2 linked regions of the Oryctolagus cuniculus genome follow. The protein of the gene in region 1 purifies or fractionates together with the protein of each later gene. This does not show direct contact. Links are inferred from orthologs where the notes say so. Each region holds a gene or a part of one and is shown on either strand. Other genes may lie near its edges.

Region 1 (4,220 bases):
TAAAGAACAAGCTGTACTCAAAGCTGACATCATTACCTTCTCTAACTCTCAAAATTAATCACTTTACTCCTTTATTTGGGATTCCTTTTCTTTCCTTTTTAAAAAGATTACTTGAGAGGCAGAGAAACAAAGAAGTACAGAGGAAGACAGAGACAGCCAGCCAAAGGGTAAACCTAGCCACTGGTTCACTCTAAATGCATCATAATACAGTAGAGGACATCATATTGCAAGACCAAGTAAGCACGGCAAAGAGAACTCACTTTCATAACGAAACTACTCTTTCAATAACCAAATTAATCCATTAATCTGAAAATAGATTCATTTATTCATGAGGGCAGAATCTCCGTTACCTAATCACCTACCAAATATTACTGATATATGACTTTAGGGATTAAATTTCTTTTTTTTTTTTTTTTCAGATTTATTTCTTTATTTGAAGGTCAGGGAGGCAGAAGAGACAGAGACATCTATCTGTCAGATCATTCCCTAAGTGTTTGCACCAGGCCAGGGCAGAGCTAGACAGAGGCCAGGAGCCTCCTGCCAAGAGCTGCCTCCTCTGTGGGTGCAGGGGCCCTGGCATGTGGGCCATCTTCTGCTGCTTTCCCAGGCACATTAGCAGGAAGCTGGATCAGAAGTGGAGCAGGTGGGACCTGAATCTGTGCAGATATGGGATGACGGCATTGCAGGCGGATGCTTTATTTGACACACCACAGCTCTGGCCCTGGTGGTTAAATTTGTAACACATGAATTATCGGGGGAAAACACCCTAATCATAGCAGATTTTGTTTATTATCTGTAGAAAGTTCCATGTGCCCAAGGGTCTAAACTTGAACAACACAGCATCTCAAGCTCCTAAACACTTTACTAAATAATTATTAATTGAAAAATACAAATGGGTGACCTAGAAACAGACAAGAATATATACAGCAGGATTTCAGAAAAGTTGGTGGGAAATGTACATTTTTCTTTTAATGCCATTTTCACTAACTTTTTGGAGTAATTATACATATGAAGAGTGTATATATATATATATATATATATATAGAAAAGATTGTGGACTTGGGAGAACATTTCCATGAGTCGATACTACAAATAGGTATAGCTACAATTTTCTAAAGTAATATTTGCGATGGTCTTTTTCTGGTTGCCAAAGCAGCTTTGGTCCTTATAACATTGCTGTGAATATATTAAACAATGAACAGTTAACACCATTTTCACTTGAGGATGTGCTAAACCCATTCTCTCGGATCCAGGGCCCGCTCACTATTTTATTCTCCAGACTTCTGCTTTCCGGTACACAGTAGTTTCATTCAGTATCTCTGCGTGTGGGGGATACCTATACACACGAATCTTAAAAATACATACTTTTCCTTTTCGGGAATGTGCTTCCCCGTCACCGTCCTTGCAAACCTCGCTCAGCCCCATGGACGGACCCACAGCGGCGTCCGCACGCACCCGCCTCCGGCCCTCGGCCTCCTCAGAGAGGCCGCCCGCAGGCCCCGCCCAGAAGCCGCCCGGAGGCCCCGCCCACGCCGCGGCCGCCGGGTCCAAGTCCACGCCCCCTGCGAGGAGTTTCCCAAAACTCAGCGCGGCAGGCCTCGGCCGCGCTAAGATGGCGACTCCCATGCATCGGCTCATAGCCCGGAGACAAGCGTAAGTGGGGGCCCTCTCGGGCTCCCGGACGGGCTGGGGGCGGGGAGACGCGCGTCAGCCGGCGGCTGAGCCGGCGCAGGGGTGCGCGGCTGGGCGTCGGACCCCCTCCGAGGAGCGGCCGAGGATGGCTGTTGCTCAGACACATTGCCAGCGTCCGCGGGGCTCGGCCCGGGCGATAAGTTTGGTGACCAGAGACTTGCGGGGTCGTGGAACAAGAAGGCAGCACGCGGGGGTTGGTCACTCCGTGGGTTAGGCCGTTCTGCCCGCACGGCGCGTGGGCAAGGGAAGCCGGGTCGGACCCCTCCGCTCCCGCGGAGGTAAACTGCAGCTCCCTCGGCAGCCTCCCGGCCAGCTGTCTTTCGCTGCCCCCTTCCCATCGCCGTCCCTGGACTCAACCAGCAGCTACTTCTCAGTTACTGCCGGTCTCTCCCTGAGTAAATATGTAGTCCCTGGGCTCGGCGCCAGAGCTTGGGCATAACGAAGAGGTGTTTCATTCCGATGGAGCCCCTGCTTCGGGAGCTCACGCTCCGGTGATGGGGACGGTCTCTAGTTTGGTCAGCTTTGACGGACACGAGGTTTGGTGGTGGAAAGAGGCGACATTTGATCAGAGATGGCCATGGGGAGAAAGCAGCCGGTCCTGAGACGATGTGTGGAAAGAACATCCAGACAGTGGCAAAACTGCTTGGAGGCCAGAAAGAATTTACTTCTCAAGAGCAGAAAGATGGCCAGTGTGCCTAAGGAGCTAGCAGGACAGCGGCGCCAGAGGTTTGCCGTGAGCCGACAATGCAGGGGTCATCTCGGAGGCCCTTTTCCTGCAAAACCTTCTTTCCTACCAACACATCTGCTACTTCTTCATTCTCAGTGTTTCACACCATCATCGTTTTGCACACCTATAGTGCATAGCTCAGAGTCCATTAACGTATATATGTTTATGTTTTTTATGTTTCTCCCTTTTCAGGCCCGATGAGAGTTCCCTGAATATGATAAAGACTCAGGGAGTCAGAGTAGTCAGCTTGGTGGTGAAAGGAGGCTCAGTGCTAACTGATGTCATTAGGTCTCCGTCTCTGCCTCTCTGCTTCTGCCTCTGTTGCTCAGGTTTGCTTTCCTGGATGTTGGCTCCAGACTGGAACAGACTCTGTTTTCTTCCTAATGCAGTATGCCAGGGTCCCTTATATCCTCTCAGCTTGGAGCTGGCTGCACTTCAGTGACCTGACTGCCTTGGCACACCTGTGGGATTTTGAAGTTACAATTGACTCAGAGGTCTCCTCTCCCAGCCTAGTGGAATGGATGACCATGAATGGATGATCTGGGTGGACGGGTCAAAGGTAGATGAATGCTGACTAATCAAAATCCGTAGTAGTGCTCATTCACAAGTATCAGAAAGTTAAATGTTTTCTTTGTATAGTGTGTGTGTTTGGTCCATGAGGTACATTGGAAGTAAAAGGCAGATCAGAGCTCGAGCAGCTTGTGGTCTTGTTGGGAAGAGGTATAATATAAGTTGTTGTGGTGTACAGATTGTAATACCCCCAGGGATTCAGGAAAGGAAGATTATTTTGAGGTTAGGGACGTGCAAAAGAATTTTAGGGATGTATTTGGGGGAGAGGAGAGGAGTCTTTGCTTTTCATTTTATTTTCATATTATGTTAGTCAAAAAATGTTAATTTTGTTTATAAGGAGCATATATGACTTTTATAATAATATGTTTAAAATTGTATTTAAGTTATGAGAACTGAGAAAGGTCTGTTGTCATTCTTTTTTTTTTTTTTTTCCTTTAAAGATTTATTTATTTGAAAGGCAGAGAGATCTTGGGGGAGACAGAGAGAGAGGTCTTCTGTCCTCTGGTTCACTCCCCAAGAGGCCACAATACCTGGAGCTGGGCCTATCCAAAGCCAGGAGCCAGGAGCTTCTTGAAGAACCAGGTCTCTGATGTGGGTGCAGGGTGCTAAGCACTTGAGCCATCCTCTACTTCAGAAGAGCAGCCAGGACACAAACCGGTGCCCATGTGGGATGCCAGCATCACAGGTGGAGGCTTATTTTGAAAGCATAAATTAGCAATCTATATGAAAGATGAATTTTTTAAAAAGATTTATTTTTATTTGTTTGAAATACAGAGTTACAGAGAGAGGTAGAGATGAAGAGAGAGAGAGTCTTTGATCTGCTGGTTCACTCTCCAAATGGCTGCATTGGCTGGAGCTGAGCCGATCCGAAGCCAGGAGCCAGGAGCCTCCTCTGGGTCTCCCACAAGGGTGCAGAGATCCAAGGACTTGGGCCATCTTCCACTGCTTTCCCAAGGCCATAGCAGAGAGCTGGATCAGAAGCGTAGCAGCCAGGACTAGAACCGGTGCCCATATGGGATGCTGGTGCTTGAGGCCGGGGCTTTAACCCACTGCACCACAGCACCAGCCCCGAAAGATTAATTTTTTTTTTAAGACATTAATTTGTTTATTTGAAAGGCAGAATTAGAGAGAGGAATCTTCCATCTTCTGATTAACTTCCCAGATGGCTGTAAAAGCTGGGCCATGCTAAAGCCAGGAGCTAAAAACTTTCAAGTCTGGCCATGTTGGTGGT
Region 2 (4,111 bases), on another chromosome or scaffold:
TCGCAGTACTCGCGGCGGGTGCCTTTGCCGTTGGTGAGGATCCCACAGCCGCTCATCATGATGGTGCCTGGTGCGGGAGGTGGACGCCCTGGTTAGGACACAGGCTTCTTCCCCTCAGGAAACCCCAGGCCTGCGCCTCCACCCCTGCCAGTGCGGGCACCTGACTGCAGGTTGGTCATGGTGGCTGGGTACTCCAGACTGTTGGGGTTGTGCGTGGTGACACCGATCTCGATGGATCCCGACCACTTATCTACAAGCTTGTCGATGCGGATCTGGGGTCCAGTGACAGCGGAAGGGAAGACCAGGGAATGTAAATACAGAGGAGGGGCCCCAGGCCTTGGTTCTTCCCAGAGCACGCCCTCCTTCCCCACCCCTCTGCCAGCACCTCCCTCCCTATCCAGCCCCATCTTCAGCTCCCAGAGGGTGAGGCGCTGGCCAAACCCCAGGGTTTGCACACCTCAAACATTTCATTGTCCCGCAGCGGGCGGTTCGTCATGACGACCCCGTTGTTGAACTCATCCAGGGGCCGCCGCCGCTCAGCTGTCTTGTTGTTGTTGCTGAGTTTGATGAGGGTCCCACACTTCTCGTGAAAGAGCAGGGCGTCATTGGAAGTGAGGATGGGCGAGGTGGCAGCGCCGCTGGATGCCAGCCCTTCCCCTGCCGGGGGGGAGCTCAGGTTCACGTTCAGGAGCCCCCCGTTGTAGGCAGACAGGATGGTGTTGCTCACCACCTCCGACAGCTCCATGCTGGCAAAGTCTACAGCAGCAGGACGGAGGAAGGACAGCGCGATGAGACCGCGCCCTTGGGCTTGGCGCCCTCTCTCCCTGGCCCTGTCCTGCGGCCCCTCCCCTGTCCACCTCACTGCCCACTTCCCCTCCCAGGGCTTCCCCGAAGCCCTCACCATTATGCGAGTCAAGGCTGTTAGGAAACGTCTCCGGCCGGGCCTGCGCTGGGGACACCATGAAGGCTGGGGACCAGGTGGGAGGGGAGGGGAATAAGGGTTCAGTCCCTGCACCAGGGCCCACAGACAGGAGACCCCCTCCTTGAGCCCCTGCTCTCTGCAGGGATCTGAAGGGCCCTGCCCACACCCGGCCTCACCTGTCACTACAAGTCTCCCACCTGAGCTACTCCCGCAGCCCCACCCCTCCGCCGCGGCCCTGGCTGCGTTCTTACCTTCATCCCCGGAGGTTCCCTGTTCAGCCAAGGCGGGATCTTCAGAGGGGGCTGAGGGCTCGAGGGGAGGGGTGGGGAGGGGAGCAGGGGGACAGAAGCCTGGCTCAGGGGGCAGCACAGTGATCTGGGTGCACTTGCCATAAAGGTCCACGACAGCCCAGACCCGAGCGGGCAGGCCTGTGGCAGCCACGCCACAATCCCGCCCGTTCACCCAGAGCCGCAGCTCCCCCGCAGCCGTGCGTTCCACGCCCACACGGTCCCCTTCGCCAAGCTGGTCCAGGTCCTGGCCGTACTCCTCCAGCACGGAGCGTCCGTCCCTCAGCACCGAGCAGCCTGACACTACCCACGAACCCCCCTTCAGTCCCGTGGCGCTGCTTGGGAAGTCCAGCACGCTGGGGTCCAGCGCCGTCACCCCGATCTCAATGGAGCCGCTCCAGGAGTTGACCTGTGTGTGTGACAAAGGCAGCGGATAGAGGCCCAGGGTGGGCCATCAGTGGGTCCCCAATGGCTGGAAAACCACACCCCACAGGCCTTTGTATCCCCTTCTTCCTATCCTTCGGCTCACTGGCTTTCCCTCTCTGAGATGCTGATCCAGACACGCAAACCCATGAGGCATTTCCCACTCTGCCTCAGTCATCGTTAGGGTCTGCTCTCCTCCAGACCCTGCGTGTCCTAGGGTGCTCGGGGTCTACCCCACTCTTCCCCGCCCCCTCCCGCGTAGGCTCAAGTTCCCAGCCAGCCTCCTAGCTGGCCCAGGTCACCCTCCTCCCTCGGGCCTCCTTCTCTCCAGGCTCCGCCCAGAATCTCCTCCCAGATTTTCTCACACACACCTGCCTCGCCCGGGTCCTCTTCACCCATCTCTCTGGCCCTACCTGTGAGTTCCCCCCTCCGATGCTTAGTCCTTGTCTTGGGATCTCTCTTCTCTTCCCAGCACATCTCTGCATCCCCCACCCCCAAAAAGCTGCTCCAAGGAGGCTGCTCCCTAGTCATTCTACCGGCGAGCCCCCGTGCCCCCCTCCACTTCTGCTCCTGTTTCTTCCTTCGGACTGGACGTCCCTGCTCGCTCCCTGTGCATCGCCCGGTGCTCTACGGCCTGTCGCTTCCCTGTCAGTACCCAGCGACGTGGGCTGCCCTGGCTACCCCGCCCCGTTCTCCCTCTGGTCCCCTCCCACTTCTTCACATCTCGGTTCCGCCGCCCCGGCTCTGCACCTTGCGGTCGATGCGGACGGTGAAGACGCGTCCATCGCGCAAGGGTTCTCGGCTCAACACCAGGCCGTGGTTAAACTCCTGGCCCGGCTGCTGCCGCCGCGCTGTACGCCCACAGGCCGACAGGCTCACCAAGCGCCCAGTGCGCGGGTGCAGCTCCGCGCCGCTGCCGAGACCCCCGCTGGACCCCGGTCCCGGGCCGCTCCCGCCGGGGCCCGCCCCGCCCCCGCCCGGCCCCGGCCCGGGGCCCCCACTCCCACCCGACCCCGCCGCCATCGCCGCTGACACCGGGGCCGCGCGACAGTCGCGCTTGGCGGCACCGTGGCAACCGCGGTAGACGGACACCCTGAGGGAATACGACCCGGGGCTGGGGCCAGAAACGCTTTACGGCACAGCCGGGCAACGAAGCACCTCCGGCTAAGGAACTAAGGACTACAACGGTGGGAACAGAAAGGACGACGGGGTCGGGGCGGGCTGCTTTACGGCAAGGCGCGATGACAGTGTCTCTGAGAGGAGTGAGGACTTGGGGAGGGCGCTTTTGCGACAGTGAAAGGAGGATACGCCTGTCGCAGGCATCTTTACGACGGAGGGCATGCTGGCGCCCAGCTTCAGCTTTGCGACGACCGCATTGTCGGCCCCACCCCCCTGGGAGAGGCAACACCTCCAAGTATTCGCTTTACGGCAGCAGAGGGCCGATTCGCTTCACGTTACTTCCTGCAAGGCGCTATGAGCTGAGTCTAGGGGAGCCAGAAAAGCCGTAGCTTTATAAATGAAAGTGCCTGCCCTCCACGTCACTGAGATCGGAAATGCGTTACGACAGCGTCGCAATCTCCTCACGCAACGCCTCGCTCCTCTCCTGAGGAGCAGAGAGCCGACTATTTAGGGAAGAACAAAAAAATTCCTATATATTTCAGGTCAAGTCTAGCTTGATCTCCAACCAAAGAAGCGCCCAGTTTCAAGCAATGGCACCGATGGTCCCAAAAGATTCCTTCAGAACTATATGCCCCCGGCGCAACTCCTGTCCTCGCGCTGTTGGCGGACTGTGATGTCACAATCGAGGCTTCTCGCCCCCTAGCCAGGTCCTCTGGCTTTGATTGGCTGGTTCGGATGAGGGCGGTGATGGAGGAGGGCGGGAACAAATCGCAGAGACAAAGAAAGTCTCTGGGTTGGACAGAAAGGGAACGGTGACTGGAGGGTGCCCCGGCCGGAGGCCTCAGGATGGTCTAGAAGCCGCCCACCGCCCACCGCGGCGGCAGAGAACGGAGGGGGAGGGGGCCCGGGCCTGAACCCTCGCGTTCCCCGCCCCCCCCGCGCTGGGGGCGGGGCCTGGGCGGGGCTTGCGGAGCAGGGAGGCGGGGCGGGTGGCGGACAGTGGCCCCCTGGTGGGGCCATGGAGAAGCAGGAGCCTTGGGGAGCTGCCAGCCGCTTCGACGGGGGATCTCCTGGCCGGGCAACCAAGGCCGGGCCAGAAGGGGTCAGAGGAGCCGAGGCAGGCCCTCGGCACCCTCAGTTCCCCGGGAGCTCCGCCATTCACAGCCCTGATTCGCGGCGGGCCCCTGCGGGAGTGGGCCTCGGTACCCCTGGCCGCAAGTGCGGCACGTGTGTTGCTGGATACAGCACCCCGTACCCTGGAAGCAGTGTACCCCACTCCGGGGCGCACGGTTCAGAATGCGGTTCGTGCCACGGGGCAACCTGCTTGCAATCCAAAGACTCCGGTGTGGACCAACCCCGG

What was found. Proteins that work in one complex are often made in the same cells at the same time.
Region 2: the proteins of ZCCHC10 (region 1) and NEURL4 purify together in Homo sapiens (co-immunoprecipitation; 3 studies listed by BioGRID and IntAct, with this or other methods). This does not show direct contact. The link is inferred for Oryctolagus cuniculus from reciprocal best matches to the Homo sapiens genes ZCCHC10 and NEURL4.

Annotation. Positions count from the first base shown.
Region 1 is NC_091437.1:21,523,621-21,527,840, reverse strand, and holds the start of ZCCHC10 (zinc finger CCHC domain-containing protein 10), read left to right. Parts: upstream 1-1,420; 5' UTR 1,421-1,423; coding exon 1,424-1,653; intron 1,654-4,220.
Region 2 is NC_091448.1:51,927,442-51,931,552, forward strand, and holds the start of NEURL4 (neuralized-like protein 4), read right to left. Parts: upstream 2,801-4,111; 5' UTR 2,656-2,800; coding exon 2,383-2,655; intron 1,619-2,382; coding exon 1,174-1,618; intron 968-1,173; coding exon 902-967; intron 757-901; coding exon 458-756; intron 273-457; coding exon 161-272; intron 68-160; coding exon 1-67. Other genes in the region: uncharacterized protein, read left to right, coding at 3,770-4,111. UniProt on the Homo sapiens protein: Promotes CCP110 ubiquitination and proteasome-dependent degradation. By counteracting accumulation of CP110, maintains normal centriolar homeostasis and preventing formation of ectopic microtubular organizing centers.